Linked DNA regions of Pelodiscus sinensis. The protein of the gene in region 4 interacts with the protein of the main gene of each other region in a pairwise test. Links are inferred from orthologs where the notes say so. Each region holds a gene or a part of one and is shown on either strand. Other genes may lie near its edges. The genes, in order: SPRY1, RGS17, CHIC2 and HOXA1.

What was found.
Region 1: the proteins of HOXA1 (region 4) and SPRY1 interact in binary tests that used the Homo sapiens proteins (3 or more experiments, as listed by UniProt). The two-hybrid records come from large-scale screens. The link is inferred for Pelodiscus sinensis from reciprocal best matches to the Homo sapiens genes HOXA1 and SPRY1.
Region 2: the proteins of HOXA1 (region 4) and RGS17 interact in binary tests that used the Homo sapiens proteins (3 or more experiments, as listed by UniProt). The two-hybrid records come from large-scale screens. The link is inferred for Pelodiscus sinensis from reciprocal best matches to the Homo sapiens genes HOXA1 and RGS17.
Region 3: the proteins of HOXA1 (region 4) and CHIC2 interact in binary tests that used the Homo sapiens proteins (3 or more experiments, as listed by UniProt). The two-hybrid records come from large-scale screens. The link is inferred for Pelodiscus sinensis from reciprocal best matches to the Homo sapiens genes HOXA1 and CHIC2.

Annotation. Positions count from the first base shown.
Region 1 is NC_134715.1:38,167,577-38,175,149, forward strand, and holds the start of SPRY1 (protein sprouty homolog 1), read left to right. Parts: upstream 1-4,289; 5' UTR 4,290-4,447; intron 4,448-4,505; exon of another isoform or gene 4,506-4,785; intron 4,786-5,181; 5' UTR 5,182-5,634; intron 5,635-5,640; exon of another isoform or gene 5,641-5,996; intron 5,997-6,002; exon of another isoform or gene 6,003-6,885; intron 6,886-6,912; exon of another isoform or gene 6,913-7,296; intron 7,297-7,573. UniProt on the Homo sapiens protein: Inhibits fibroblast growth factor (FGF)-induced retinal lens fiber differentiation, probably by inhibiting FGF-mediated phosphorylation of ERK1/2. Inhibits TGFB-induced epithelial-to-mesenchymal transition in lens epithelial cells.
Region 2 is NC_134713.1:109,023,947-109,032,619, forward strand, and holds the start of RGS17 (regulator of G-protein signaling 17), read right to left. Parts: upstream 3,101-8,673; 5' UTR 2,975-3,100; intron 1-2,974. UniProt on the Homo sapiens protein: Regulates G protein-coupled receptor signaling cascades, including signaling via muscarinic acetylcholine receptor CHRM2 and dopamine receptor DRD2.
Region 3 is NC_134715.1:85,603,091-85,610,914, reverse strand, and holds the start of CHIC2 (cysteine-rich hydrophobic domain-containing protein 2), read right to left. Parts: upstream 3,598-7,824; 5' UTR 3,418-3,597; coding exon 3,299-3,417; intron 1-3,298.
Region 4 is NC_134712.1:196,637,747-196,645,551, reverse strand, and holds HOXA1 (homeobox protein Hox-A1), read right to left. Parts: upstream 3,406-7,805; 5' UTR 3,358-3,405; coding exon 2,736-3,357; intron 2,331-2,735; coding exon 1,975-2,330; 3' UTR 791-1,974; downstream 1-790. UniProt on the Homo sapiens protein: Sequence-specific transcription factor. Regulates multiple developmental processes including brainstem, inner and outer ear, abducens nerve and cardiovascular development and morphogenesis as well as cognition and behavior.

The DNA.
Region 1 (7,573 bases), on a different chromosome or scaffold from region 4:
TGTTGCTGCATTTCTTTACAGAACTTCAAGAAAGCTCTTTGCACAGAAGAAATCCCCAGCCACTTGTCTTTTTGATCTCAGATAATGATCAATCTGTCTACTGGAAAGTGTGACTGGAAACTCCACCTCACATCATCCTTCACTTTCCTTCACTTGCACTAAAATACTTCACTGTGACTTCAGTGCTCAGTTTCCTCTCCTCCCCCACAATGTTTATGATTTTTTTACTTCAGCTCTGCACAATAGCTTTATTTTGTTACACCCTCCACCATCAATTTTAGCCAAGCCCTACCTGCCACAATCTCTCATTTTTGTAATTAGGAAAAAGTGCTCTTGCTATTAGTAATAAATAAATAATATAGTAACAATATGTGGCAAATCCCTGTATTTAAATCCACAATCTGAAGCCAACATTCTACCCATTTTTCAGGGAAGGAAACTGGCCCAGAGAAACTAAATTCCTGCCCTGAGAATAATTTTTAAAATATTGATATTATAAACTATGCATAGTGTATCCTATTATCAAGACTAATGCTGTTTTAAAAAGTGAATGCTTTTACGAATTGGTGTGGCTGCTCTGACCCACTTTTGAGATAGGAGATGAAAGATTATATAAAAGGTTATGTTTCTCCTCCCATTTAAGTCAGTAACAAAACTCACACTGACTTCAATGGGACCAGGAACTAGTTTCTAAGTCCAAAGAGCTTCCAGTTTATTTAAATGGTGTTTTGTTTATAACACTTATTTTTTCAGCTTGAAATGAATCAGAGGTAATAATGATGAGAGTTTATATTTCCTCATTTCTTTTAGCAATATTACATTTATTTTTGTGTTGACAAGACTTTTTCACTCCCTTGTTTGTTACTGAATTAGAAGATTGTATTTATCACTTTTCAGTGACAGTAACACATTAAGTCCAGCCTCAGAAACATTAACGTTCATTAGACATGTTGGGTGGATATCCATGAAGTATATGATGTTTCACATGGTCAGAGATAAAGTTTTGCATTGTAGTGTTACAGTAAGTATGTATATTGTTTTACTGGGTATGTTGAAGTTGTATGAGAGATATTTTTAGTGCATCAGTGAAGGTGGTGAAAATTATGTATATTGGTTAGGGGATGTTAAAAGAAGATACCTTAAATTGATATTTCCTTGTTTTGAGAGGAATATCCACTCCTTAGGAAACTTTAACTGTTTTAATCAGTTTCTTCTTTGGAGGCATATGTTTTTCCTTAGAGAGGTACAAAAATAACTGTATAGAAATGACCTGCTTTTTAAAATTAAAGATATACCAGAGACCTCAGAAATGTGTAGCAAACTACTAAAAAGCATAAGAGTCCTCGTTCATCATGCCTTATTATGGCATAATGTTCAACGTGTTAATTACTATTTCTATTGTGGTTTGTTTCTTTGTTCTTTTTGTTTAAAGTTAACTTTTTGAAAACAATTATAATATTTTAATAACTTGAAGATACAGTAACACGCCTTATAGAAATAACTGATAATTATAATTAGTGGAAGCCTTTGAAAATGTCATTTAAGGAATTTTTTTTTATTGTTACGAATATATGCAACAGAGCTAGAGAGAGAATCTAGTTTTCATAGGTTCTACTCTAGTTTCTCAGTGACAAGATCATCCTGTAGAACAAATGGGTTAGAGCATGAAATTAAAGACTTTTGACTTAATCTGAGTTTCTCCCAATATGTAGCAGAATGGGGCATGCAAAAGTAGTCTTAATTTGTGGAGAATATATTCAAATATGAAAATGTACCTATTTTTTATGAAACAACATAGCTCAGTTCCCAGTTCTGTAAGAAGGGGACATGTGAATCAGACCGGGTCAGAAATTTTCTGGTGGAACATTTTTCTGTCAAATCAAAATGTTCTGTGGGCATATGATAATTTTGATGAAACTTCTGACAGAACACGCAAGTTTTAGAAGAAAATCTGCTTAATTCCTTGCCTGCTCCCCATCTATCTTCCTACCTCACCAGCCCTTCTGAAGGCCACTTTCTGGGAGCCCAAAGAGAATCTTTCATTTTGGAAATACTAAAACATTCCCTCAATGGGAATGTATTGGTGTGTCTAAATGAAATATTTTGGAATTTCACTTCCAATATGGAATTAAATTTTTTGGAAAACCTCAAATTTTTTTTTCAGAAGTGAAATGAAGTCTCCTGGCCAGCTCTATTGTGAAACATCTCAGATCCTCCATTAACTCACCTATACTTTCCTGACTTCTGATGTCTTGCTCAATAAGGAGGGCCGTGTGAAGCATACAGAAAGTAATACGTCAGTGGAAGAGATGAGATTTGAAATCCTCCGGTAAAATCCTGACCACATCAAAGTCAAAACTCCATTACTTCTCCATTTTTATTTCTTTGTTGAGCCTATTTTGGTCAATAGATATGGAGCTTTCTCTGTATTAATTGGATCATCAGATTCTTTCCTAACAATGCTTTAAGAACTTCTAAAGGTGTCAAACGAAAACCCTTTCATGTAAAATGCCTTAGAGATCTGAGGCTGTGTCTGTGCAGCTGAAATACAAGGATGTTTTCTACTTGCTAGGTCAGCGCGTTGGCTTTAAAACTGCATTTTACACCAGCCTGAGTGCACTGTGTCCATGCAGGGAGGAAATGGGTAGCATTTAATAAGTGGACAAAGTTCATTTTAAATCCTAATCTTGTTTTCCAAAATGCTTGTAGCCCGCCCCATCTTAGTACCGTTTGCAAATCTCAGATGCATACTCTCACTCCATTATCTAGGTTATTAATAAAAAATATTGAATAGTATTAAACCCAGAACTGACTGTAACATGACCCCTGTAGATACATTCTCCCAGTTTGACAACAAACCATTTAATGGAACCAGATTAAATAGTTGCTGCAAAACTTGTGTGTGTGGAGGAGGGAGTGCTTGCCAATGGAAAATGACAAAATTAGTAAGGAAAACATTGTATCTCCCACCATCTGGAAGAGTAAAACCAACTCCTTGCAGCAATTTTGCCAATTTGTATTATTGTGTTGATGCAGAAGTATCCCTGAATGTGGCCTAAAGTATAAAATAGTTGCATATATTTTACTGCGGGCTAATTTGTAGAAATTGATAACCAATTGTTTTTATTCCTCTAGTTATATGAAAATCTTGATAGATACTGAGCACTCATAACTCAAATTTTCTTCATTGCAAGTTTGGATGCTCAGTGCCTGTCAGGATTTTGCTTAAAACGGATACAAGATAAAATCAGCCTGGCAAACTCCCCATGGAGTCCACAACATGCTAGGAACCATATAAACAAAAGGAGGCATGATCTTACTGCCTCAGAGAGCTCATATTCAAAGGTCCCAATCCTGCAAACAGTTATGCATGTGATTAATTGTATGCATCTAAATTGATCCATTGACTAAGGTCTGATCCTGTAAGCTAGTCTGTGAGAATGGACCTCTTGTCCCCGTGCTAAGTGAATTGATTTCAATGGGATTACGTGTGATAACAGAGGTCTGGCCAGTAGAAACAGCTTGCAGGAAGCAAGACAGAAATGAAAGAATGGTAAGGCAAAGAGTAAGAGGTAAAACATATGAATAACGTGATTAGAGCAGAGATCAGTCCCATCTTGAGAATACAGAATTTGATAACATAAGATGTCTTTAGTTATTGTTCTAAGTTATGTAGACTGTTCACAGTGACCCTTCAACCTTGTCTTTATCAGACATCTAGATTCTTGTCAATATCACAGTACTAATCAATCTTTTTTGAATGTGGAAAGGTTAGTAGTCTTCAGGACCATGGCAGGAAGAAGAGAGATGAATGTGGGAGAAGTGAACAGATTTGCATGTTGTAAATGTATGCGGATATTATTTTGCAGGGGAACAGAAAGAAGGGTGAGTAGGTTTTGCGCCTAGGCTAGTGTGTTTTTGACAGTATTACAAGGCTGTGGCCTCAAAGACATGCTTAACTTTCAACAATGAATGCTCCTAATTAGTTCTGAGAGACCATGTAAGTGCTTGCCAGATCAGGACCAAGATCAAGTTCGTGACACATTGACTCGCACGCACATACGTTTATTATCTATTCCATTCTCACGTTACTTTCCACAATGTTAAAACATTTTACAGGGTAGCAAGTAAACCTTGAAATTCGCACGTACAACTGAATGAAGAAATGGCTGCCGGGTTGTAGAGAACTCCACTCCAGGATTTCAAGAAAGCTTTTCCGAGTGACACATTGACATCATCGGAGGCGTGACTGAGGGGGAGGCGGGGGCTCCGCGCTGAAATGCTGCTGTGCGGAGCTGGAATTACTGTGTAACAGCAACAGTAAAGCAAATAGCAAAGTGATAGCAGCAGACAACAGTGAGCAACTGCTGTCTATATTGGTTAGGTTGGAATTATCTCCAGTTTCTTCACATGTGCATTGGGGAGCAGTTTTTTATCTTTGTATTAGGTAAGCATCAGCAGCGTTTGTTCTCCTTTTGGAAGACATTTAAGAACAGATCAGGTGTTTAATGTTTGTTCTTGAACTGAAGAGGGGGGGGGTCTCTTTAAATTCTCGTTTTCAGGTCTTAGCTTAATGGTTGCTTTGCCAGATGCAAATAACATTTGTATTGTGAATTACAGTGCCGTTTACTGCTAATGCTTTCATAGAAAGAATACTGGTGCACTTTTATTTCTCTCTGTTTTGTAGTTTAATTCTGCAGCAAGTCAACTGCGTGAAATGATTAAATATGCACTATACTGAATTAGAGACTGAAAAGTATTCTCGTGAATTCTCTAGTAAAATAGGTAAAGCCACTTACAATTTGCTGGTAATGTACAATTTGCAATTAAGTTATTGTGCCTCCCTTGCGTTGTTGGTCTTACTTAATGAACAGATTTTTTTTGCGTGCTGGAACGTTGTTTGCTCCACTTGAAATGCCAGGGAGTTTTAAAAGCACTTCCTGCAAGAAGTTTGTGTCTAGAGTTACATTAGATTTTAGTTTTCTGACTGACATGCTCCAAGCCTGTCAATCAGTCTGCAACAGCAACAAGCAAGCACATGGCAGTTTGCAGAGAGCTCTGAGACAGAGCCATTGCTTTCTGCTGCCTCTCGCTTGCATGTTTTAGAACTTGCTCCAGTTACGGTAGATATGGCTTGAAAATAAGCGTCTCTTCATTATTATTATTATTATTTTGCGACAGGCATTCTCGTTACACTTTGGCTGTACGGAGGGGAGAGGGGTTGCAGCAGGACCATGTGGTGAAGCAGAGCTGGATCTGGGACGTCGTTTTGCACCACGCAAGTTCAGCTTAGAAGGCTCGTGTGACTATCCAGGGGAAATACAAGTGGAAGTCGGTGGAAGAAAAGAGGAATCTTGTATTCCTTGCCTTGCTCTGCTCTATCTTGTTGGATCACGTTGCTGCTACTGCAGGTGGCTCTATAGCTGCTTCTGCTCGTTTGCGGGCAGCAATTGTGCCTGCATCTTGCCATTTTGATCTGCTAGCTTGAAATGAACCATTTGCAGCAAGGGGTTGATTGTCGTCACCTATAACCGAAGAGAGAGACTTGCAGCCAGAGAGACGGCTTCCTTGGGAATCCCACCACCATCGAGTGATTTACTTCTCCCAAGAGAATTGTGCCTGCTCAATGAACAAGTGAGTTAGGGGCACGCAACCATTGAATGTTTGTTTCTTTTGAGCAGAGGTGCGGGGAGGGAGGAGGGGAGAACTGCATTTCCCTCCGCTCGGTGAATGGGATCTGGTGATCACTGTGTGCTTTGCAGAAAACAGAAATCCGGAAGAGTTGTCCTCTCCAACCAAAACGGGGCTGGAAAAAAAAAAGAGAGAGAGAGAAAGCGGGGCACAGTCTCTTCTGAAGGGGAAACGAAACCCACCCGCCTTCTCTTAACACTTGCGCTGCTCTGTGGATCTTAACTGGGGTGGCTTGAAATGGATTTGCCACTAGTGACTTCTTGGAGATAAGTCCTTAATTCCTCTCCCGTTCTTACTGAGCTGAGGTAAAACTCCGTGAGGTCTGCAGCGCCGCCGCCTTTTGCACGTGTCGAGTTGGAGGAGTGAGCAGGTGTCGTTGCATTTCCCCCCTTCCCCCTTTTGAGGGAAGGGGAGATCAGGCTGCTGCCAGCCGTGTGCTGTGGCGGAGGTCTGGCGTAGGCTGGGGTGGGCCCGTTCTTCTGGTGTGTGTGTGTTTTAACTGGCGCTCAGGGTTATGTTTTAATCCGAGGGCTCTGAACTTCTCTGGCCAAGCGAGCAGGCTTGAGTGTGCAAAGGGGCGGGACGGCGAGAAGCAATGGCTTAGGATTCCCGGCAGACCTGGGCTGTGCACTGCTGGTAGCTCTCCTGAGTGGTGTCTGGGGGAAACCTGGTGCCCGTGCCCCAAGCTGCCCGTAAGGATTCAGGGAGAGGAGTGGGGCCAGGCCGTTGTGTAGTTCCCCCTTCTCCAGAGGTTGTTCTGGATCTGTGCTGGAAAGGACCGTGAGGTGTGGGGAGGAGGGCGGGAAAAGAGGTTCTTGCGGGCGGTCAGGCGGTGACACTTTATGAATGAGGGAGGAGGGAAGTGAGGGGGTCACGTTTTGACGGGGGCTCTGAAATGCTTCGTGGAAACATCTAGCAAAACCCTTCCTCCTCCTTGCAGAGATTGCTAAAAGCTGCCTTCAGTAACCCCTAAGGGGAGAGCCTTCCTCCGCTGCTGGCTGAGGTTTGGCAGGGCTGTAGAGGTGGAGAGGGATAAAAGGAGAGAGACTTTCCCCCTCCCCCCTCGTTTCCCCGCCCTTAGCCCACCGGGGGAAAAATCCCCTGTGCACGTCCTAGCACACCCAGACCTTCCAGTGCCGTGCTGGAGAAGGGGGATGCTACAGCTTTAAGTATTGGAAGGACCGCCCTCCTGAGGTAATGGTAACCTCCGTCTTCCCCTCCTCCTGCAAAAGGGGGGGGGGGGCAGCCCTTGTTTTCATTCATAACTTTTCCCTCTTCCTTCCTCTCCGTCAACTATTTATTCATCGCTTCGCTCGGCTCGGGTTGCAGAGGGCGCAGCTCCACCGCCGTACCTTGTAGTGGGGCGATCTTTGGCTTCCTCCCCCCCTCCCCTCTCTCTTGCACCTTTCTGTGTAGCAAACAAGCGCCAGTTAAAACGCAGCAATGCAGAATGCATTCGGGTGGTGATTCTGCCTTTTGGAAGCTGAGCTGGGAGGAGGAAAAAAGGGGGGGCAGTTGGGTGAACCCCGGTCTGGAGGAAACGCAGACGTACTTGTACATTGTGCTAAAATCCGCAATGGTTCTGAGCGTGGGCATCAAAAAATGGTATTTTAGACTTTTGTTCGCTTTACTTTTGGGGGAAAAAAAAGTAATTTTGATACTCGCAGTGGGGGTAATTGGTTCTTTCCATTAGAAACTGTGTGGCTTGCTGCTGGCTTTTTTTGTCTCTCTTTATTACAATGTGTATCGTCAATCTGCGTGTTTTTATTAATATTGAATTTTTTTCAGAGATGGCACTGGTTGCACTCTTTTTTTAAAAATACTATCAGATTCTTCCCCTGAAAGTGCACTTCTGATCTCAGCAGCTGTATGGCTTTTCCCC
Region 2 (8,673 bases), on a different chromosome or scaffold from region 4:
CACCACCTAAGTCCTACTTTCTGGTAGAAGAAGTTCTATCAGAGGGCCTTCACTGTTGTCTTACTTTTTGGTAGAAGAGTTCTATCCACTTTTCAAATAATGCAGATTACACAATGAATCATACTTTAAGGCAATCAGCAACAGAGCTGTGGTCCAATATAGCATGCATGTTGCATTTAGACTACTTGTGGAGAAAAAACCCCCCAAAACAATAAATACTCCCCTGTGATCCAGAGACACAGTGATTCAGGTAACAGGACTAGGATAGAGAATCTTTTAGCGGATTGCCAGATCTAAATTTAGTCTAAGCCATTAGTAACAAAAAGTTATTACTATTGCTCAGTAGACTATTAACTGAGTTGATGATTTCAGGCCAATTTTGTGTATCCATATCTCTCACACACAAATCAAGCCCTCATCACTGCAATTCTTATTTGTAGTCTCAGCTGCAAGACTAAGGATTGGCAAGGTGGAAAACTGAACTGTCTTTGCATCCTAAAGGTGACTTCTGCGTAAGGGCTCAGGCAAAGGGAAAAGGCTTACACTACTTGTGCTATCCTTACTCTGTGGAGAAAGAAAGGAAACTACTAGACTAGCACCTTTAATAAACACAACATTTATTTAATGTACATTTTAAACATTTTCCATTTTGGCCATGGATTTATTGTATCTGCCTTAGATGTGATAAATCAATCTCCAAGAGTGCTCCCATTGATGCTGGTACTTCATCAAGGCAAAGAGAATACCCAGAGTCAACCCGAGGGCAGCTTCCATCAACCTTAGTGCATGCAAGATGCCACAGGGAGTATGTTGACTTCAGCTATGCTATTTGCATAGCTGAAGTAGATCAATGGTGCAGGTAAGTGTAGATATGAGACTATAAAAACTTCAGAGCTGGGACTGGATCTTTCTATATATATGGATGGTGCCCTGCACATTTGAGTGCTGATGAAATTAAAATAAATTATTAGCTATAATATCATCTTAGGATACAATGTTTCTTACAAAGCTTAAACAATGGATCATTCCTATTCATTTACTAATAGGTGCTAATAGATATCATGATGACACTAATTATGTATCCTGTAATGTGGCTGGGCACACTAGCTTCCATTGATATGAATGGGAATTAACTTCCTTTTAAAAAACTTATAGAAATAGGCAGTATGTATGCATTTATTTTGCACAGTTATTATATGTTAACCATAAAACCAATGCAGTTACTAAATGTTTCTTCTTACATTTACCAGCTATTTAAAAAACAATTACATCTATTATTGCATTTGAGAATTCATCCATTTTACCTAACTCTTGATTTAAAAATACTAAATAAGTTTAAAGGTATATCTATCTATCTATCTATATATATAATACTATGCACCTAGGCTGCAAAGTTCTTGACAGGATAGCCGAAATCCTTAGAAATGTGTAAAATAAAAGATCCGCTCAGTACTGGAAACCCCAACTTCTAGTTATGCCTGTTCTAAAACCATGATAATGATGGTATGATGATGGGCACTCTAGAAATAAACTAGATTGACAAGAGTGCTGCTTTTCTTCAGTTTCCAGTGAGTTCATTGTTGATGAGGATAAGAACTCATGGCTTGTGATCCTGAATTTTAAGGGCTGCAGAGCTGCTAAGGAAAACCAAATCCCTCAAAAACAACCTCCACTGGAAACGAACCATTCCTCACAGGGTCTCCCTTGAACTCTCTCCCCTTTGGGCAGCGGCTGCCCTGTGTCACAGAAAGTCCTGGCCAGAGGCTAAGGGCGGTGGGATTCATGTGCTCTCCTTCGCCAAAGCTTTTGGCTTGTGAGCGCCTCTCTGCTGAGCGCTCTCGCTGTTCCTAACTTGGTGCCGGCCGGGAAGGCTCTGCTATTGCTAGCACAGCCGCCGCTCGCTGCCACGAGCCAGCCTCCTACCTCCCGAGCCACATTCTAACCATCTGTAGCCGCCTGCTTTCCCCCATAGGCTCCGTCCTTCCTCCAGCCTCACATGCTCCGACATTTTCACACACACACACACACACGCAGAAAAGCAGGGGGAGAAGAATCCGGCCAAACCCCAGCTCCCGGCTGATGCCGCAGAATAACGAGGGGGGAGGATGGGTGGGTGCCATGAAGGGCTATGGAGAGGGTGTAAAGGGAACCCAGAACTCAGCCTACCGAACGGCAAGGACGGTACCTATGAGCCAGCTCCCCGTTTGCCCTGCACCGAAGCAGCACCTATAGACTGCGCGGGGGCCTCGTCCCTATATCCCCCCCCCCACCACACACACACCCCGGCCAAAAGCTTTGCGATACCACGCACTGTATCGCATGCCCCTGTGCAGGTCTTACGGGGAACCACTTCCATTCCCAAGGAGCCCAGCGGGTGGTTTCTAAAAGGCCAGGGGCTCGGATGGTTTCAAATCAGTACAAATTGCACGGGCGCCTTGCCCTCACGCTCCTGCCCAGACCCGAAGCCGCGATAAGGGAGCCAGAGGAGAGGGGCAAGAGGAAAGGTACGAGCCCCCCACAACACACGCCCAGCCTCCCTTTCGCATCAGCACAAGGACATTTCCCGATATCCCCCCTCCCTTCCCCCAACATGGTAGGAACCCCCCTCCCTCCCCGCCTGGATTGATCAGGATTCCTTGATGCAGCTGATGCACAGCAGCAGCATCGCTCCGGAGCCACAGCCCGGGAGCCGAATACGCGGGGAGTCCGGCGGAGCCCTCGCCAAACCCCGCGCTCCCCCGCTTTGGGGGCATCCCCTGAGGGGAGCGACACTAGCAGGAGGGCCCCCTCCTTGCAGCCGGGCCAGCGCGGCGGCCCCCGCCACACACAGGAGCAGTTGCGCTCCCACTCCCCCGCCCGCCCGCCCGCCTCTCTATTCCATGCACCAGGCTCAAGCAGACATGTTGGTGCCATTCAGCAAGGTTCAGGTTCAGATAATACATAATGCGAATAAAGCCCGCTCTGGCTTACCCACCCCCGCCTGGCTGCGCGTGCTTGGCACTGAGCGATCCCGGGGAGCGGCTCGCGCAGCTGGTCCCTAGCGGAGCTGGTTTGCTGCCATCCGCCCAACTTCAGCACCCAGCCGGCAGGGAGAGAGAGCTGGGGGGGGGGAGCGCGAGAGGGAGGGAGGCAGGGAGCGAGCGCACATGCGCCCTGCTACTCCGCTGGACCGAGCCGCTGGAGTTTCCCCGCTTCTCCCCGGCGTGACTCACCGCCAGTCCCCTGCCTCCGCTTCCTCCCCGGGGAGCTTGCCCGGAGCAGGCTGGCTGGCAAGCAGGGCCCCAGGCAAAGAGCTTGGAGGAGGGAGCGGTCCAGCGGGGGAGCACCGGTGCTATCGGTCCTAGGGCTCTGGGAAGGAGGCTCCAGCCAAATATGGCTGCTTTGGGCAGGGAGAAACGATGGTTTGTTAAATCACCTGGCTCGGGTTTGGAGCGAGCCCAGCTGCCTTCCACTGGGACCTTGGCCATCGCACTTATTCCAGGTGTGCTGTGGATGGGAGGCCGGGGCAGCTTGGGACAGGCGCCTTCTTTTCAAGGTTTGAAAGGGAACGACTGTAAATGACATGTAGCTAAATGCAGGTCCAGGAACTAGCTGGAGTTACCCGGCATTGCTCGGGAAACCGGAGGAAGAAAATGTAGAAAAACAGTAGTCCATTATCTTTCTTTGAATGGTAGAAAAGTTGCAAAGATTTCTATAGGGATTAAAATATAGGTCCGAGTCATCCCTGGGAGGTGGTGCGGCCCCGGGTGGAGGGAAGGTTACACACGAGAGGGGCGCCCCAGCTTGCACCCGGGCCTGCAGGTGTCACATGGGGCAGGGCGGTGCCCGAGCCGTTATGCGCATGGGGGTCGAGGCACTGTGTACCGGGGGGAGGGGGAAGGGTCACTTATGTAACCTCACGGGCAGAAGGGGGCGAGTCCTGGATGGCGCTGGGGGCCGCATCCGGCGGGCACGGGACCTAGAGTGTGAGGGGCGGCCCCTGGTAGCACAGCACAGGGGGTTACTTTTTGATTTTTACAGCTTGAGCTTGGGCCCAATTGGGTCCAAAAGTACCTTAAAACCTTCTCCTGGATAAAGGTTATTCCATGCAAAGTTTGGTTGCGGTAGCTCTTATAGTGTCCAAGTTATTAGTGCACAAACATTCTCCTTTATATATTAGATTCTCAGCCACCTTCTCTCTCATGGGTAAATACAGGATGCTGACAAGCTCTACTTGGATCCTGCTTGCTTCTGTACCTTAGCCTGCAAATTGGACTAGCCAAAAGAGACAAAAGATCTAGCTGCTGAGTGCCTGGTGCACACACAGAAGAAAACACTCAGATCCTGAGGCACTTCCATACAAGTGACACAAAAACCATCTGGATAACTTTGGAATTCCATGCAGTCATGTTCAAATGCCTGGACAGACAACCAGTGTGAGTGCCCCTCACCGAAACACAAATCCAAGACCATGATTCACCTCCTCACAGAACAATGGTGCCAGCATCTGGATTCTGCCAACTTTTTGCCAACTGTTCAAATTTCACTGCTTAAACAGAGAACACATTTAGTCATTCTTATTGTACCTTACAAAATCCATCCCCTGATGTGCCAGGTCAATCTCCCCACAACAGTTCAGGTCTGGCATCTAGGTCCTACAGAATCCTGTCACAAATGCAGAAATTCTAACATCAAAATAGAAAACCAGTGTTCTTTCTACTAACCAACCAAAACAAGCTGGATCCCAATCTATAATGGCATAAGAAAAGTGTAAAGCCTTTAATTTTGCACCTGTATCCTGCTGGTCCAGCTAATTTTTGGTTGCATATCTCTCACCAATACACTTCCTTGTTTAACGTCTATGCAGCTTTTCAAGTGTCCACTAGAATAATCTAGAACCCAAAATATTGTGGTGGAACAGTGTTTCAAATACTGAGTAAAAAACAGGCTAGCTCTTCATAGGGCTAAAATAAAGAAAAGGTAAGCAGCCCAGGAAGATTAGCCCAACAACAGTATAACCATCAATCACTTTTTCTTTTAAAATAAAAAAAATGGACTAACTATAGCCGAACTACAGACTAACTCTACAGCTATACTAATAGGGCTCGTCTACATTGGCCCCTTTTCCGGAAGGGGCATGTTAATTTCAGAGATCGTAATAGGGAAATCCGCGGGGGATTTAAATATCCCCCGCGGCATTTAAATAAAAATGTCCGCCGCTTTTTTCCGGCTTTTAGAAAAGCCGGAAAAGAGCGTCTACACTGGCCCCGATCCTCCGGAAAAAGCGCCCTTTTCCAGAGGATCTTATTCCTACTTCAAAGTATTCAAAGTAGGAATAAGATCCTCCGGAAAAGGGCGCTTTTTCCGGAGGATCGGGGCCAGTGTAGACGCTCTTTTCCGGCTTTTCTAAAAGCCGGAAAAAAGCGGCGGACATTTTTATTTAAATGCCGCGGGGGATATTTAAATCCCCCGCGGATTTCCCTATTACGATCTCTGAAATTAACATGCCCCTTCCGGAAAAGGGGCCAGTGTAGACGTAGCCATAGAGAGGTAGCTGTGTTAGTTTTTCCTTTTGTTTTAGCAAGATCAGACTATGTTGCACTTTAAAGACTAACAAGATGGTTTAATCGGTGATGAGCTTTCGTTGGCCAGACCCACTTCCTCAAATTATCTGAGGAAGTGGGTCTGGCCCATGAAAGCTCGTCACTTATTAAACCATCTTGTTAGTCTTTAAAGTGCTATATAGTTTTTCCTTTTGTTTCTACAGCTATAGTAATCATATGCCCTTGTCCCTGCATTCTGGGAAGAGGCACTTCAAACACCTAATGATGAGAGCTAAAGTCAGTCAGAGCCATGTCAGGGGAAAGCATCATCCCACCCCAATGTTGGGACACAAAAAGAAGAGAGTGATGTATAGCCAGTGCAGCGGGCAGGGTGCTCTATGCTGGCTCTACACCAGTCAAGGCTTTCCCAATCCAAGCTGTTCCTATTAGGTGCTGAACACCTTTAACTCCACTTTCAATGGGAGAAAAGTGCTCAGCATCTGCCAGGAGCAGGCTCTGGGATTCAGTGCAATTAGGCCAAGCACATAGTTCTGCAATCCTTTACATTCCTATCTGTCCTCATATGGCTGTATTTAAATTGATCAAGACCAGAGAGATAGGATAGCTGTACTTTGTAAGGGGTAAAGGGAGTCTGCACTGCAGATTGTCTGCTCATCCATAATGCAGGACCACAGCCTAAAAATGGTTTATGCTTAAACTACTGTCAATCTTTGCCAAGACTGATCAGAATCACTGACAAATTTTAACTTAAGATTGGATGTTTGTCTAAAAGACATGCTTTAGGAATTATTTTGGGGAGGTTCTATGGCTTGTGTTACAAGAGGTCAGACTAAATGTTACTTTCCTGGCCTGGAAAGCTATGAGTTCATGTTTATATCCACAGAAATCAGTAAGACTTAAACGCATGTGATTTCCTGAACTGGAGCCTAAATGAAGTTTGCTGATAAGTTCCTCAGGAGGGGATCCATGCTCTGACAGATATTTTGAAGCTATGAAAGAAAAGTTTCCCACCTGCAAACTTGGTATGGTTATAGGAGGTATGTGTGGTAATAGAATTTATGCCTAGGTCGGCGTGAGGATCGTGCAGAGACAGACCGCACATGGAAAGTCATGGGGGGTCATGTGCCCTCCCCCCTTAATGCTTGGCTTGTATGGAACATGTTCAGTATCACTGCTGAAACCAGCTCCTTGGCTATCAGCAAGCATAGGTTTTCTCAGGGGTAATGGTCAATGGAGGGAAATGGAGGAGGAGTTTTTATTCACACATCTGCAGAGGAAGCTTCTAAATCTTCAAGCTGTACATATGGAAAATCAAAAGTGTTGACAGTTTTGGTGTGACTAAAAGACTTCATCTTTCTACATCTCCTTTTATGCCTCCCACAATCTCTAGCAAATCCACCCATCCATATTTACTCTTGTTCCATGCACACATACCCTCACCTCCTGTGGTTCCTCATCTCCCCTCCTTATGTCCATCTCTTTCATTCACTCTCCTTATATTTCTTTAGATCAGTGTTTTCTCCAGTAACTGAAAGTGTATTTTTTTCAAATTTACAAGATGTCAGATGAAGGGTGAGACTGTGAGGGTGAAGGTGGGCTGTATGTTTTCTAATGTGCACTATTTTGCATGTATCAGTCTTAACTGTGCATATAAAATGATGGGATTTAAATTAGCTGTTACCACCCCAGAAAGAGATCTTGGAGTCATTATGGAGAGTTTTCTGAAAACATCCACTCAATGTGTAATGACAGTCAAAAAAGCTAATGGGGTCTTAAGAACCATTAGAAAAGTGATAGATAAGACAGAAAATATCACAAATCAACTATATAAATCCATAGAATGTTCACATCTTGAATACCGTGTTCAGTCTGGTCACCCCATCCCCCCCAAATATATTATATATTGGAATTGGAAACGATACAGATAAGGGCTACTAAAATTATCAGGGATACGAAACTGGAGAAGAGATTGAAATGACTGGGATTTTTCAGTTTGGAAAAGAGAAAACTAAATGGGGATATGATAGAAGTCTATACAATCCTGACTGGTGTGAAGAAAGTGAATAAGGAAATGTTATTTAATCCATTATGTAACACAAGAACTAGGGGTAACCCAATGAAATTAATAAGTAGCAGGTTTTTTTTAAAAAAAGAAGGAAGTAGTCACATAACATATGGTTTACCCATGGAACTCTTTGCTGGGAATGCTATGAAGGCCAAAGCTATAAAGGCCAAAGCAACTCTGGTCATCTGAAGAAGTGGGCTGTGCACACGAAAGCTCATGATACCATCTACATGTTTTGTTAGTCTATAAAGTGCTACCAGACCATTTGTTGTTTTTTAAGTTTATTCTGTACAGACTAACTCAGCAACCCCCTAAAGCTATAACTGTTAGAAAAGAACTAGATCAGTTCCCAGAGAACAAGTCCATCAATGATTAACAACCAGGATGGGAAAGAATGAAACCCTGTGTTCCAAGTGTCCTACCGTCTATTTGTCAAAAGCTTATACTGGAGGATAGGGGATGGATCACTTGATGATTGCCTGTTCTGTTCATTCCCTCTGAAACACTTGGCATTGGCCAGTGTTGGAAGGCAGGATACCAGGCTAGATGTACCATTGGTCTGACCCAGTATGAAAGTTCTTATGTAAAAATTATTATAACAAAATGTGTAGTACAGAAACTCCCCAAGATAATAACCTTCTCAAGATATCATTGATGTGGGATTAAAACCTTGGCAAATGCATTATAAAAATCTTGGCCTACTAGGAAACATATTAATATAAGTCCCCCAGTGACAAATCTAGTATTTTGGAGCAAAATCACACATAGTCAAACAAACATAGTTCATAGTTCCTGTAACATGCCCCTCACTTTTGCCTCCAGCCAGGAGTGACTGGTGAAGAAGGATGCAGGGGGTGCACTGACAATGTGACCACCTCCCACATGACTTCTCCTTACATTATTTTGGGGAAGCCTGGGAGAATGCCCCCTCCACACCTCTTCCTGCCCCTCCCCAGCAGCTGGTGAGTTTGGAGGGGCCAGTCACAGCTCTCCTTCGAGTGACGCACCAGTAGCCTCTTTCAAAAGAGCCTCTTTCAAAAGATCGCGTCTAGACTGCAGGCGGAT
Region 3 (7,824 bases), on a different chromosome or scaffold from region 4:
ATGACTAAATGCTAACATCCCTAAAAATGACTTTAAAGTGGAGATGAAGTAGAGCACATACATCAGTAACTTAAGGGTAAATAGCACAAGGATATTGTATTTATTTACAAAACAAGCACTAATTCTGAATTTCATGAGTATTCAAACTCAAAAGAAATCCAAACATATTAAAGTATGGAAATATGAAAATAAGGCATGCAAGTATCCTTAACTGTGCTCTGCAGTGATATGGTGGGGAAAAATATGAACGTCCGCTTCTGCAACAATCGTAAGGTGTCTTTAAAAATCAATTCCAGTTAATCTAGAACCACAACACTGAACAGCACTAATTCCCCCGCTGATCCCAGGCTCCATGCTGTGCTGCCGCTTTGAAATGCCAAGTAGAGCGAGCCTGGGGTCAACCTTGGACTCTGTGCAGCATTTTCCCCAAATCCGGGGTCAGCTGGGAACTCCCCAGGTAATCTCGGGCTCCAGTGCGGCATTTCAAAGTGGCAGCGTCACATGGAGCCCAGCAACAGCTGGGGACTCCCCAGCTGACTCCTGGTTCTGCAGAAATGCCACAGGGAGCCCAGGGTCAGTTAGGGAGTCCAGATTTTCTCTGGAGTCTGGATCTTGACTATATTTTGACAAAGAAATTTGGACCTTGACAAATAATAGTTGATTACCTCTGCATTAAACATTTTATTTGGACAGTATTCACCTGCATTCCCTTTGTTATTTTTTTCTAAGATGGTGTGGGGTTTTTTTGTGTGTTTTTTTTTTTTAAAGACTAAGGATTCTTTCACACACAACCCATCTCTCCTTCTGTTGGATAACATTCAAGTAATAATTGGCTTTGACACGTTAATCTATAGTCATAAAAATTACTGATAATATAAATTCAATATTACAACTCCATTGCAAGATCAGAAAGGATATGACAACAGACTATGAAGGAGGAAGTTTTTAACTACAAATATAGTCAGCAACATTTTTAAATTGCACAGAGAGAATAATAAGTATTGCTTTTGCTTGCTAGATCTGTGATAAAATTTTCCAAACCTCCAAAATGCACATTTCTGTAAATCAAGGAAGAAATCTTTGCATGCAAATTCTGTAACAAAAATCTAAGAGAAAAACAGCTTTAACATCCTATCCCAAATACTTTTGAAATTTTCTAGTGTCAAAATACTTATTAAAGGAAACATGATGAAAAGTAGGAATTACAAAAAGTTTCAGTTTCATTAGGAGAGCTGAAAAACTCCAGTAGAAGTGTTCAATCTTCTCCGATGTCATTAAATTTAATAGATGTAATTTGGGGGAAGAGAGGGAAAATAGGTGGCTGAGCGAGGACATTCAGCCTATGTCTACCCAGCAGCTTTATTTCAGAATAACTGACATTATTCCGAAAAAGAATGTGTCTACACTCCAAACCATTATTTGGAAATAATGGCAAGCTGGAGGACTTCTTCCTTCGACTCCTGTAACCCTCATTTTACAAGTAACGGAAGTCCAAGGAAGAGTGGTCTTCCTTCAACTTTCCACTGTATAGACAGTGCCAAAAGCCTAATTAAGCTATTTCGATTTGAGCTAATCAGTTGTGTAGCTTAAGTTGCATAGCTTAATTCGACATTAGCCCTGCTGTGTACCCTCAGAGCATATTTAATACTAGGTGGGATATATAAACCTGAAGACCACCACTCAAAATAACTTTTGTGGAACTCTTTTGGCCATCCAAGAGCTCCGGTACCTGTACTAGAGATGAAAAGAAAAGAGAAAACAATTCACATGAACAGTTGGCAGGACTGGTAGCGTAGAGCCAAATTTCTTCTACAAGCTAGAAGTGTGAAGTCTTTTCCATGATTTCCCACCAGCGGGCTTTGATCTTAGCCCACAAAACCCACAATCAAGAGAGAGAAGAAAAGCATCTTAATTTCCTTTAATTCTAAGCCTTTTAAAATGAGAACAATGAAACTGTTGAAAACTAATGCATAATTACAGTTATAATTTTAATGTAGTATATGATCAGGACTATTTCACATATATCATTGGATGGTGGTAACATCTCAACCTCTAACATCTCTTTCAATGAGCACCAAAGCCCTTATGTAAACTTTAATTTCTCAGCAGAGAGGAAATCAATCTGTCTTTCCACATCAATATTTTCCATGACATTAGCAACACAGTAAAACAGTATTAATGAAAAGTTACCACGGTACTGTTAATATTACCCCCCAGCATCTTGGAGAACTCAACATCAGATGACAATAGGATACAGGTCTTTAACTTCTATGCTACTGTCTCAAATCCAGCTCAGTTCAGTAGTGAATGCATATGAAGAAGCTTCTTACGGCCTATTCTATCTTTTACATTTTTTTAAAAAGTGCCTAAGAGCGTCCACTACCACTGAGCACTTTTTTTTTAAACGAACTCTTAATAGAGCACATAAAACAACTGAGTCTGTTAAGTTACTAGAAATTAAGTACACTTATTTTAGAATCATCACCAGACCCCTCACTTATACCTGTTCAAAAAAACCAAAACCACCCTCAACAACAATACAGTCACCCTTATTACATGCCAAAAGCTAATGATGCTGGGCGTGCTTGTGCTGGTCAGACTGGCTGGCTGCTCTCATTTACTAAGACTTTTGAGAGCACTACAGATCGCTGGAGCTTGATAAAAGGAAGAGGCTAACACCGTGACTAACAAACGCATAAATAACTACAGAACTACAGGTTACGTTCTTGAACTATTTTTCCCCCAACGTCCCACTTCCTGACAGCTCATCGTTGGATTTAATACTCTGCATACCGCTGTTAGTCACGGCCCAGGTCAGTTTTGTTTACTTATCGCCCCAACGGGCGATTTGCCTGTGAAGATTTCTAGCCAAGCGCGCAGAAGTGTTTACAAAATGCAAGAGGCGACGCAGGGGGCACGCCACAGGTGCCCCCACTGTTGGCTACGAAGGAGCGCTGGGAGGAGGGAGAAGCCACACGCCCCCGACTTGCTGGGTTGGGAAGTTCAAAGCCAGAGTCGTAGGCGAGCTCCTTGCAGCGGAGCGGCCGGGTCTCCAGCGGAACCAGCCGCCTGGCCCTTCCCAACCAGCTTGCAGACAGCAGGCACTCCGCTCGCCTCACAACCGCCCGGGGCACCGCCAGGGCCGAGCCAGCTCCCAGAGCAGGGGCTGGACGGGGCACAGCGCTGCCACCCCCCGCGCTGGAGCACCAGCTCGCCGCAGTCTCCCCGCGCCCCGGCCCCATCGCATGGCCGCGGCCTGCCCGCACCGGGCCAGCCCTTTCCCCGGCGCGGCCCTTACACGGTGACATGGCCAGAGCCGCGCACCACCACCGGGTCGGGTGAATACTTCAGCAGCTGCTCCTCCAGCGCCCGCTCCTCGTCCTCCTCCTCCTCGTAGATCTCGTCGAAATCCGCCATGGCCGGGCCGCGCGCTGTGTCCGGTACGGGGCGGCCGGGCTACCCCGGCGAGGCTGAGCCGGCGTCGCTGCGACTCAGGGGCAGGAAGCGCCCGTCGCTATCCGGGGAGGAGGAGGCACAACAACATCCGGGCCGGGCCGTGGCGCCGCCCCCAGCGCGGGAGCCACAGCAACAGCGCCGCCCAGGCCTCGCGAGAGCTTATGGGGGCGGGCTCCTGCGGCGCGCGGCCCGCGGCTCGGAGGCGAGCGCGGGTGTCCGTCCTGGGGTGGTGCCGCGCGGGCGGTGGTTTGACGGCGCCAGGCCTGGGTGGGCAAATGGTGCTCAGTGGGGGGAGGGAATTACTGCCGGGGCTTGGCCAGGCCACTTTGGGGATCCCGCCCCCTTTCCGCCTCTCCAGTTACAGCGGGGGAGGGCTAGGTTGGACATTAGGGAAATTATGTCACTAGGAGGGGGAAGCACTGGGATGGGTTACCTGGGGGGGGTGGAGTCTCCATCCATAGAGGTGTTTAATTCCGCGTTTGACAAAGCTCTGGCCGGTATGATTTTGTTGGGATTGGTCCTGCCTTGGGCAGGGGGCTGGACTTGGTATCCTCCTGAGGTCTCGTCCAGCCCTAGGATTCTTCTCCCCCACCCCAGGTTCTGCCCTCCCCTGGCTAGAGCTGGCCTGAGCCACCTCTCCTATTTCCCCCACCCCCACAGAGAGCCTGAACCATTCTTCTCCTCCAGAAAAAGGGGAGGTGCTGAGCTATACACTCCCCCCCCTTACACCTGCCCATGCTCCTCACTACCCCCTAGAGCTGGGACTAGCAGCCAGGTCCCCCCCCCCCAGCCTGGCAGCTGGGTGGAAACCTATGTGTGGGGCCCAGTGACAGAGCTCCCAGGTATGGACCCAGCAGTTAGGAGTGGGACCTGGGCCAGCAGTGGGCCCAGCAGCTATGATCCCAGATGGCAGGGTCATGGGGCTAGTGGCCAGGATCCTGGGTTACAGGGGTGCAGGACCAGGATGCCAAAAACCTAGGAGTACTCCAGTATCCTGTGCCCCATGGACATGGCTGGAAGTGGGACCAGAGGTGCAGCTGGAGCGTGGCCAGGAATAGAACCATAGGATAGGCTGGGATAAGGCCAGAGTGTGGCTAGGTGGTGCTCCTTCCCATGACTGGGACCCTGCAATGCACTCCCAAACATTCTGTGTCAAAAAATGAAAATAATTAGCAGATGAAGTGGGAGAGCCTGAGGTTTTACTTGAGGGAAGTCAAAAGTTTTGCACTGAGATTTTGTATGTAATCAACCAGGTATTCGCTTGTCTGTATGACAGGATACACGTGAGTTGTTGAATCACCAACTTGGAGTACTAGTTGAAAACAACTTGGTAGATATATCTGATATTCACAAGCATGCCACAGAACTTGCTGCAGTTTACCCTGATGATTTAGAAAAAAATTAATAATAAATTTATATGAATCAAATTCTTTGTACAGGATGAGCCTGATAAATCTCCAGCCCATTTCCTGCAAGTGTTAAAGCAAAGCTTGACATTGCTTAACATGTGGGGGGGATTAAGCACCATTTTTAATGAAAAATGGTCAAATCTGTATCCTTCGTTTTCTTCTTTATGAGGTACGAAAAGATTTACCTGGCATTTCTCAGGTTTTTAACTCAATTAATTGGGGGGCCATTTAAATCATTGCTCTGGGGTGGGACTGGGGATAAGGGGGTCAGTATGCAGGCTACCCCCAGGGAGAGAGGACTACCCCAGCTCTCTCTCACTACAGCAGTTTGGGGCCAGGTGAAAAGTGCCTCTCTATGGCTACTGTTGCTTCAAGTGGGCACAGCTAGGGGAAGGGGTATATGTCCCCTGACTGAGGTAGATCCAGGTTCCTCTGTACTCGTCAGCCAGAGTGAGGAATACAGGAAACTGTACACTTTCCCCTTACTCCCTGACAAAGGGGAACAGCCAGCAATGTTCCCATACAAATGGGGGGGGACACCCCTCAACCCTCTCACCCTCCCTCAAGAGTATCAAGTGTTTTGTCTTCACTGTTTTTGCTGGAGTTCTTATTGGAGGAGCAGATAAATATTTTCTTCAAACTTTTTAATCAGGTGTTTGAATTAAATAGTTTATTTTTAAAAAAGCAAATAATATGCAATTTGCAAGATATTTCATTGTCACTTCAGGTTTCTCTTTCTTGTTACTAGTGATAATGTAATTCTGTTAGTTCTTCAGTAATGCATAGTGTCTTCCAGGAAGTATACAAGTGAAAAAAAACCTTGCATTTATAATGTGCTTTAACTCCTTCCCCCAAAATATAATTTGTACACTTGCCCCATACCCTAGAACTTTTAGGACTTACACATTTCTTGTTTTGTTTTTTAAAAATCTTTTGTTTTTCCTTTGCACCTTTAACATTTGTCAAAACTGGAAGTTAATGTAAAGAGTTCAAAATTCCAGCAATATAGTAAGACCTTTAGTAACAGAATGTTGGCTGTTGTGGCAACAAATCATAGTCAGTGTGGGACTTAGTGGCAACAGGATGGCATTTTAGAAAGGAAAAATTATCTTTTGGTTTGAACAGACTAAGCCAATGGATATGAAGTATGCAGGAACATTTAGATCCTGTGTTTTGATAGGCTGATGATGGGTTTACAACCTTTGTGTAATAGACTGCCGTGGAAGGACGAATTGACTGAGAATACTGATTGCCAATTTGCCACTTGTATTTCACTGAAATGGATTTCACCTACTATTTTCAACAGGTATTTGTGATAGTCACTGAGGGTACGTCTATACTAGCCCCCTAGTTCGAACTTGAGAGGCTAATAAGGGCGACCGAAATTGCAAATGAAGCGTGGGATTTAAATATCCCGCGCTTCATTAGCATGTTTCCGGGCGGTTGCCATTTAGAAATTTACTAACCGGGAGTAACTGCCCGCGTCTACACGCGGCAGTGAAACAGGAGCTCAAAGTAACCCCTTAACTCAAATTAGCTGTTACTCCTCCTGGAATGAGGTTTAACAGCTAATTTGACGTAAGGGGTTACTTTGAACTCCCGTTTCACTGCCACGTGTAGATGCGGGCAGTTATTCCATGCTAGTCAATTTCCAAAATGGCGACCGCCCGAGAACATGCTAATGAAGTGTGGGATATTTAAATCCCGCGCTTCATTTGCAATTTCGGTCGCCCTCATTAGCCTCCCTAGTTCGAACTAGGGTGCTAGTGTAGACATACCCTGATAGAAATGTTCTTTATGTGTTGACTGTTGTCCAAAGGATACACTGAGGTGAGACATGAGTTCTATTATAATAGCTGATCATATTGTTGTGATGGGGGGTTGAGTGAAACCTTGTTGAAGTGGTGGGTGTAACATAGCTGCTTTTCATTCAGGTTAAATACAAAAAGTGATTAAGCTTCTTTTACAGAATACATAGCTATGTGTGTGTGTTTGGGGGGGGGGGGGGAGTTTACTGGCCATAACATGCAAAGCCAGCTAGGAATCTAAGGATCAGTCTACATTTAAAAGTTAGTTTGAAATAGGTACATTGGTTAGTAGTGTGTGTGTGTGGGGGGGGGGAATATAACTTCATTTCTGGCATTTCCTAACTTGACTGCTTGACTTTACAAAAGTAACAATGTTCTTTTAACATAGTTTTTGTATAATTTCTTTCATTTAAATAAAATTAAAAACCAGAACTTCTGTCATGTGGCACCATGCTGATACCCATATAGTTCACCAGCTGATTTGAAACCTAGAAATCCACTTTGCGTACTCTCCCACTTGAACTAACGGAGTAATTCATAACAATAGCAAGTTGATATCCTCTGTCTGGACTAGTACTAAAAGGGATTGTGACACACCCTTTGCTAGTGGGTTTCACAGATATTTGGTGGTGGAGGAATGATAAGAATGAGCTTTCCATTTCAACCTCTGGAGGGGAGTGCGTCCTTCTGGACAAAGGTTCGTCTGCCCATTCCTCACAGGCTTGACCCCTTTTGTATTGTCCTCTCCATCCTGTCCCCGTCTTCTGTCTTTTCCCCACCGTGACTCCTTATCTCAGTCTCCTTCTTCTTGCCTACTCAGTCCTAGTCTCCTCTTACTAGAATTCTCATCCTAATCTCCTTTTCCAACTAATCCCAGTAAACATATTGGACTCATGTTCAGTGAGAACAGAATTGTGGAAATTTTCTTTGCTAAACTAAGAATTTTTGGTTGAACATGCAAGCTGTGATTTTTTTCAAAGACTTACAGCTTGGCAAATTTTGGATGAATTTTCCTGGTGTATGTAAAAAGGCACCTCCCAGACAAAGTGTTTTGTCCACAATCAAATTTCAAGTCTCTACTCTAAAGCACAAGCAAAGGAAGGGTTAATGTTAATGTTAAAATTTATTTTTCCTTGCCTCTTTCTTGGAAA
Region 4 (7,805 bases):
AAAACTCTCCTGCAGATGTGCAGGGAAGGAATAAGATGTTATTTATTTAGGCTGAAATTCAAATGATCACAGCAATTTTATACCTCACGTGGCCAGATGAACATGTCTGTACTCTGTCCCGCAATACGTTAAATTAAAAGGGGGGGGGGGGGAGGGGAGAGAGAGAGAGAGGTGCGACTTTTCTTTTAATCTGCCAACTGTATTAATCTGAATCGAAGTATTGGGGGAGTTCCTAAAATTTACTTGAAATAACTTGTTTTATGCACCAATCGGTGTAAATGACTGTGCTAGCTGAAAAAAGGCAATCTGTGTGTATCACCTGGAGATGAAGTTCTCTCAGAAATAAGGAGCAAACAAGAATCACCCAACTTTCCGGTTGTGAACATCCTAAAGATGTCACTGGCAATGGGAGAGAGAATGAAGCTGCATTTCTTGGGTCAGCTTTAAACCAGGGCTAATTAAATGTGACTCTCTGAACTATGGGCCTACGATGTGAAGGAAAACTGACTGAAGACAGTTTCTGCTTTTGAAGAGTGCTGTTTATATCTATGTCAGCGTGCAGTTCGAGGTGAAAAGGTTAGCACTTGAACCAGGAAGTTCTAGTATGTGTTTTTCAAAAATAGATCTAGTTCATAAATTCCCTCTGCTGCACTAGAGAGCGGGTGTTTTCTTATATTTCCTAAAAGATAATATTGGTGAAACATTAAAAAAAGGGAATTAGACTTGTGTAATGTGGCAGGGTCGAACAGAGTTCTGACCTCACCTCACGATCAGGAGAAATTATTTTTTATTAAGTCGCATATCAAAGGCCACATCAGTGACAATGAAATGTTGAGCTAAGTATGATCAACAACGGCACGAGAGGAAATAAAAAGGACCCACATCAAGCATACCTGAAACGTGAATATATTTATTACAGACATTTTCGGACCCGTAAATTCTGTTCTGGATTCATCACGCTCAGAATCTCAGAACCTTTAAATGATTGCACAGAAAAATCAGGAAGATGGTTCTGTTCACAAATGACAACTGATAAAACTCAGTGTACCTTAAGTACATCAAAGCACTGTGCATCATGCAGTGTTCCATACACGAATCACATAAAATATACATTCATTTGGCCATTCATCACATTTACGATTTGGTCGAAAAGACATCGAGTCGAGGGTAGGATTAATATGAAAATAGGAGTAGGTCAGGTCTTTTGGATAATATACCCTTAGGTCCAATATAATCCAGCACAGATGGGGGAGTGAACATACCACGCAAGGTTTACAAAACCTAGTGCAATTGAAGCCTTTTTCTTCTATCTCATCAAAAGAAACCGTGCCATTATTTGAGGTATCTGATTGACATTAACAAATCATCTTATATGATCATCAGTTTTAACAATATAAAATTGAATCCAACTTTGAGAATGTACCTACCCTATTTAATCTGATAATCTAAACAGCATTTCTAGAAAATCTGTAAAAAGATAAATCTCTTGGACAAAGTATTTACAACCAGCAAACTCATACACACGAAAAAGAATACATTAAATTAAAGGATGAAGGTACTATAATTCGTGTAAACACTCTCAATAGTGCATCTCTTCATGAGGTTATGTACTCTACATATCCTGTCTTTATGTAAGGAAAAATATAGAAATGTCCTTGATTTTTTTTTCTACTGAGAGAAACTCTTATAACTGTGCCAACAAATCTTCTGCAGCAAATAACAGCGCGAGCTGGAATTTTTAAAAATAGAAATATTGAATAAGTGGTCAACAGAAACCTGATTATGGAAACCACTGTTTAGTTCTGCATAGACTAAACAGCCGGAGAGCCTTCTAAAACTAAATTCTCTGGAAACAAGTGGATTGAAAGTAAAGATGACTGAAAGATTAAAAATACTTTAAATCAATGAAGCTTGCTAAAGATGTGGCTCTAGAGTGAGAGACATAGATCTAATGCAGTGGGGGCCAGAAATATTTCAGTTTGAGGTAGTTAGAGTGTCTGAGGTAGATGAAGCTGGTGATGGGGTGCATGGGGATGAACTGGACTTTTCTGATGATTCTTCTGTTTTTTCTTCACTTCCTGTTGGGGTAGCAGGGGAAATGGGGAGCAGCCCCTCTTTCTCTCTTTTCTTCTGCTTCATTCTACGGTTCTGGAACCAGATCTTCACCTGTGTTTCATTCAGCTGCAGTGAAGCAGCTATCTCCACCCTCCTTGCCCTCGTCAAGTACTTGTTGAAGTGGAATTCTTTCTCCAGTTCTGTGAGCTGCTTGGTGGTAAAATTGGTCCGAACGGTGTTGGGCTGACCTACGTATCCGTACTCTCCAGCTTTCCCTGCAAAAGTACAGTCAGCGTTCAATGAGTGAGGCACAGGCGACATAATCACAGCATGTACACACAGGTAAAACGATATGAAACAAGAACTTCTTACAACGAGAGGAATCCGGGGACAGTGAGTGATGGAGTGTGAGGTGCTAACATAAAGTCGGCCACTAGTGTGTATCAAAGGCAACTTGATAAATTGTTTACGAATTACAAGAAATATTACCACAGAAAACCCCCGCTTGGAACTTCCATTCGATCAGCTGGAGGACCCTGTCCATCCTTAGTGGTCTCAGACCTCCTTACCTGTAAACAACAAGGCACCTGCCCGCTGTAGGTAAGAAGGGTTTGGTCTCGTTTTATTAAAGAAAGTGGAAGAGGAAAGAAACAGCCCCCTGCTCTGAAATCGCGACTAACCTGTTTTAGGCGGGTTTCTTTTAACTTTCATCCAGTCAAAGGTTTGTGCTGGAGGCGAGGTCTCTGCAGAAGGAGAGCGACAAGCTTCTTGGTGGCTGGCATGGAGAGGGGATAAGGAATTGCTATAACTCGCTAGAGGCAGGTTCTGCTGCTCCTGTCCGTATGAGGGGTGCATGTACTGAGCGGGACCCACCGGGGCCCCAGCATAACCTTGGTGAGGGTGGGGATGCTGGACCATGGCAGATGAGAGGTTTCCAGAGTACACGGCGGGGGCGCATTGGGGATACCCTCCACTGACATCTGCTTCCTGATTTAGTGCGTAGGGACTGTAACCCGCGCTGAAGTTCTGGGTGCCATATCCCGTGCCACAGCTAGAGTAGGACATGCCCAGATTGTTGTGAGGCTGGTAGGCACCGGTCTGATGGTGGTGGTGGTGGGGACTTATCTGGACCCCCCTGCCAACCATAAAGCGATCCTCCCCGTTGCAGTGAGTGGCAGTGACCGCACAGGACTGGAAAGTTGTAATCCCATGCTCTGGGGGGTAGGTGCGGGAAGAGCATGCCCCGGGCTCGCCGCCGAGGATGGGGTACTCGAGGAAGGAACTCATCCTCGCCGTGTCCATTTATCACCGAGTGGCCGGGTCTTCAGAGCCCTGGGTGACCGTGCCAACTTTCCCACTTCCTCCATGGGGCCGGGAGGAAAATGATATGAATGTACAGTGAGCTGGGGGCACGTGAGGGCGGCAGCCAATGGCTGAGCCTCCTGCTGCAAGGGCCCTGCTCCGGCTGGTGATGGATCACCCTTTCAGTGGCATTTAAATTCCGAGCGCTCCTCCATCAAGGTGACGCGAAGCCGCCACCACCTCCCTCTCCCCCCCCCCGGCTCCCTCCCCCTGAGCCAGTGCATTGGGGCTTCGGAGCCGGGGCCGGAGAGACAGTGTGCGCCCGGGCGCGCAGCCTGCAGCAGCGGAGGCGCCACTGGAGGGGTTGAAGGGGGGGGGGGGGGGTTGCAGCCTGGATTACAGGGCTCGGAGCCCCAGCTGGAGGCGGCCAGGTAAGAGGCGCTCGCTCGCTTTGGGCGCCCACAGCGGGTCGGGGCCGCTCCCTTCCCAGGGCGCTTGGAGGGGTGGGGGTGTCCAGCGGTCCTCAGCGCCGCTCCAGGGAAGTCCCCTCGGCGATCGGGACAGCCCCCCCCCCCCGTGGTCCTACGGCTGGAGGGTGCATGTGCGGGGCGGGGAAGCGGGCTGTGCAAAGGGGGGCTCCGAGCGGCGTTGCGGGGCTCACACCGCCCGGGGGGGGTATCCCCTTCCGGAGAGCCCCGCGCTCGAGCAGCTAAGAGTTAAAGGGGCTTGTCCCTCCGGGTCCCCGCCGCGCCGCTGTGATTAGCATGGAAATGAGGCGCCTTTGTAATTTAACGCCATTGTGCTGGGGCGCGGGGCCAGCGGAGCGGCCGGAGCGCTGCTGCACCGGCCCCTGGTTGTTAGGGCTCTGCCTAGAGCTCGGTCGGTGTCGGGGCTGGGGAGGGGACGGGGGGCGGAGAGCGGGGAGGAAAGGCAGGAAAATGGATGACGATTGCAAACGTGGAAGCTTTTCCAGGTTCTGCAATCCATCTGCGGGGTCCTGTGCCACACACACACACACACACACACACACACACACACACACACACACGGATGCAATGCGTGAGATCCAGGGACAGGTCCTAACACACCCAAGCACTGGAGGACATGCCCAGGAGTTAGGGGGAGGGGAAAGCAAAGGAGGTGAGGTGCCAGCCACAGCAGTCCCTATTTCCAATTAATCCTCTTTGTCACTTGGTGGCTGCCTACTCCACCATAGAGTAGACAGAGAGTAGAGGGGAAAGGTAACAGATGGCTAAGCCCCTCCCTCCCCCCCCCCCCCCCCCACACCACCACAACCCCCTGGGTGATCTATCTCAAACTTTCTCTTGTTCCAGGCAAGGAAAATTGTACCATTTTATAGAAAAGCGTGGATGGTGTTTGGCATCTGAGTTCACATTCACCTTATCTTTTCACACAGTTCAAGAGCTAGTCAACATGCAGATAGCCATGTAACTTCGGAAATAGTTTTATTCTTATCTTTTTCAGTCTGAAGAACTCTCCGTGTATTTATGCAGATACACTTCAACTTTGGCATGTGTTGCTTTGTCACCGTGCCCGATTGATTGTTGCTTGTATCTTAAAATATAAAAGGCTATTTCCCCCTTTCCTTTCTCCAGCCCTCTCCCTCCACCCACACACACTGAAGTGCAACATCCTCTTCCAAGTGATAAGCTACCAAAAGTTTCCGAGGCTCCTATTCGGGCTACCCATGTGTTCGTTTCACCTCCATAGCCCCCCCTGATATCACCGAATATACGTTCCCCCTCTTAAACTTATCCATAAAAGGTTTGTCTTTCTATTTACATTTTACACACTTGAACAGATTAGAGTCGATTGAAAACATCCAATGTCTTTAAAAGCGGGGGGGGGGGGGTGTCAAAGGGAGGGGTGGCCAGCAAGCCGGTATGGAACAATGGTCCCTCAAACCCTTTTTGGGCTGCAATATTGTCTTATTTAATTCTTGTCAATCCGTTGTGATAAATGCTGTATACACCAGGTGCAGACTCGGGCTGGTGTATCTGTTTACCGAAAAAGAGATGTCTTTTTCCTGGGTCTCTCTCTCTCACACAAACTTTGACGATTAACAAAAGTGTATAATATACCATGCATGTATAATCTATTTATATACACCACTGATGTCATACCATCATATTAATAGAACAGAATTGTTTACTGCAAGAACAGTGAACTTCTCTCCATATTTAAAAACAATGTAGCTGCAAATCTAACAGCAGATAGAATTCCTTTCCCAATATTTACCCGTGGTTTTTGCCAAGTAACAGCTCCTCTGTTACTCTCCTTTGCTTCCTTTAAACGGTTTCCTTCATTTCTGTACCATTGTTTTGAAGAAATCCGTGTCTTTTGTTACATTGTCCTCCTTCAATGCCTCGGATTCTGCTGCCATTACAGTGCCTCCATGCCACATAATGGAAAGGAGGGACACCAGGGATAAAATACCTCTTCTCCCTCCCAAAGAGAAAAGTTGCCCTCAGACACGATGGCATATGCACACAAAATTCAGAGCTATGCTGCTCTTATAAAAGGAAAACCTTTATGCTAGCCCCCAGCCTGCCCCCTTTGTTGCTTCGGCCCATCGGTTTGCAGAAAGTCGAGTTCCTTCCCCAGCAATTCAAAGCTTTGAAGCATTTCTGGCGCCTCGTGCGCATTCTTGGAACATTCCCCAAATAATACTTGTGTGTATATGCCTGTGTGTCTTTCACACACACACACACACGAACTTTAGGGGTAACAATGCGTTTCTTAGAGGAATTCTATCAGCTAGATTTGCAGATATTGAATTTAAATAAATCCCGAGAGAAGTTTGCTGGCCTTTGATTAAACAGCCCGGTCCATTTAAGAAGACGCTATGACATCACGCTGTGTAAAAGTCTTAGCGAAATATCGTAACGCCAATAATTAAAGTCCATTCGAACAGGCGTTAAAATCCTCGAGGAAACTGCCCTGTTCCAAAAGCGAAAGTGCTGAAGCAGGGAGAGAGAGAGAGAGAGAGAGAGAGAAGCTGGGCCGAGGTTTCTGCGGCATCCGCAGCTCAGCCAATCTGTTGTTTTAAACGAGCAATAAAAATGAATTATGACTAAACGCCTCCTAACTTAATGGTTTCAGACGGGGATCCCCGGCTCCGGCAAATACGTAAGAGGATTTTTATTTGTGCATGTGTTCCTGTCATTGATCTCTTTGATGACATTCTCATTCATAGAAAGAGCGTGATTTATGAGTTTAGGAAGAATTGCATCCAGCCCTTCCAGCTATTGCCCACGCATCCCAGCTCCACAGAGTGTTGCGGATCAGAGAAACAACACACCTCAAATGAAATGGAAACAAACTACTCCAGACACATGGATTCATTGACCGCGTTTCAGATATACCCCAGAATATTCAAAATCAAAAGGCGACGCGATCTGTGAGCAGTAAAACTACTTACTAAGCATCTGTTGCTTGATTTTAGCGCAGTATAAAAAGAAACCCGCTCGCCTTCTGAACTGGGTTATTAATATCGATAATATATTCTTACCTAATTAGTTGTAGTTTTTAATGAGCTTCGTTACCGCTGTAATTAAAAAAGTTACACATTTGGGACAGTGAGCCGTTCAAGTGGCTTCATTGCAATTGAAACATGTTCACCATTCGCTTCCAGTTTTAATGACCCACCCTTAGCATCGCAAACCGGTTTTAAAAGAAAGCGACCTCGTTATGAGACCCCGCAGAAAAGCCCGAAAGGAACTGCATTTAGAATTTAAATCCCTCCGAAATGGATTTTCTCGATAATAATTGTTCTTATTTCCTCTCTTTTTTAGGTTTGTTTTCTTGGAATCTTTCAGCACATGGGAGCTAATCCAAGCCGCACTTTGTTAGCCTTTGTATTTTTAAGGACGTGTTTCAGAAAACGACCTGGTGGACATATTTGCGCTGAGTTACAGAAGAATACGGTGTTTAAAATGAGTCTTCCACTCGTGTAACAAGCCAGCTTCTATGGCAGGCACGTTCCCATGTATAATAGATTATATTTTGCCTGTAACAGCCGAAACTGCACATTATGGTTTTTGTCACGAGTTAGAAAATCCAAGACTTGCGTTCACACACATAGACAACCTGTTATATGTACATTAAAAAGAAGAAATCTTGATGTGGAGGGGTTTAGTTATTACCTTTGTTGGTGAGACTCATCGGGTACTTTGAATTGACTTGTGAGAACCTTTGCAATAAAGAAATTGAATGTGATTTTTTTCGCTCTAATAAATCTATCAAATTACCAAAAGGTGAGAGATTGTGACCAGAATGTCTAATGTTATTTCTGAGGATAAATTAGGAGGGGTGGGGGGGAATACCCGTTATGTCTAGAGAGAGAAAGAGAGAAGAAAGCTACTTGTAGCAAACAAGAATTTATTCTACCAAAAATACTTATGACAACGCATCCTAATGTAATACAA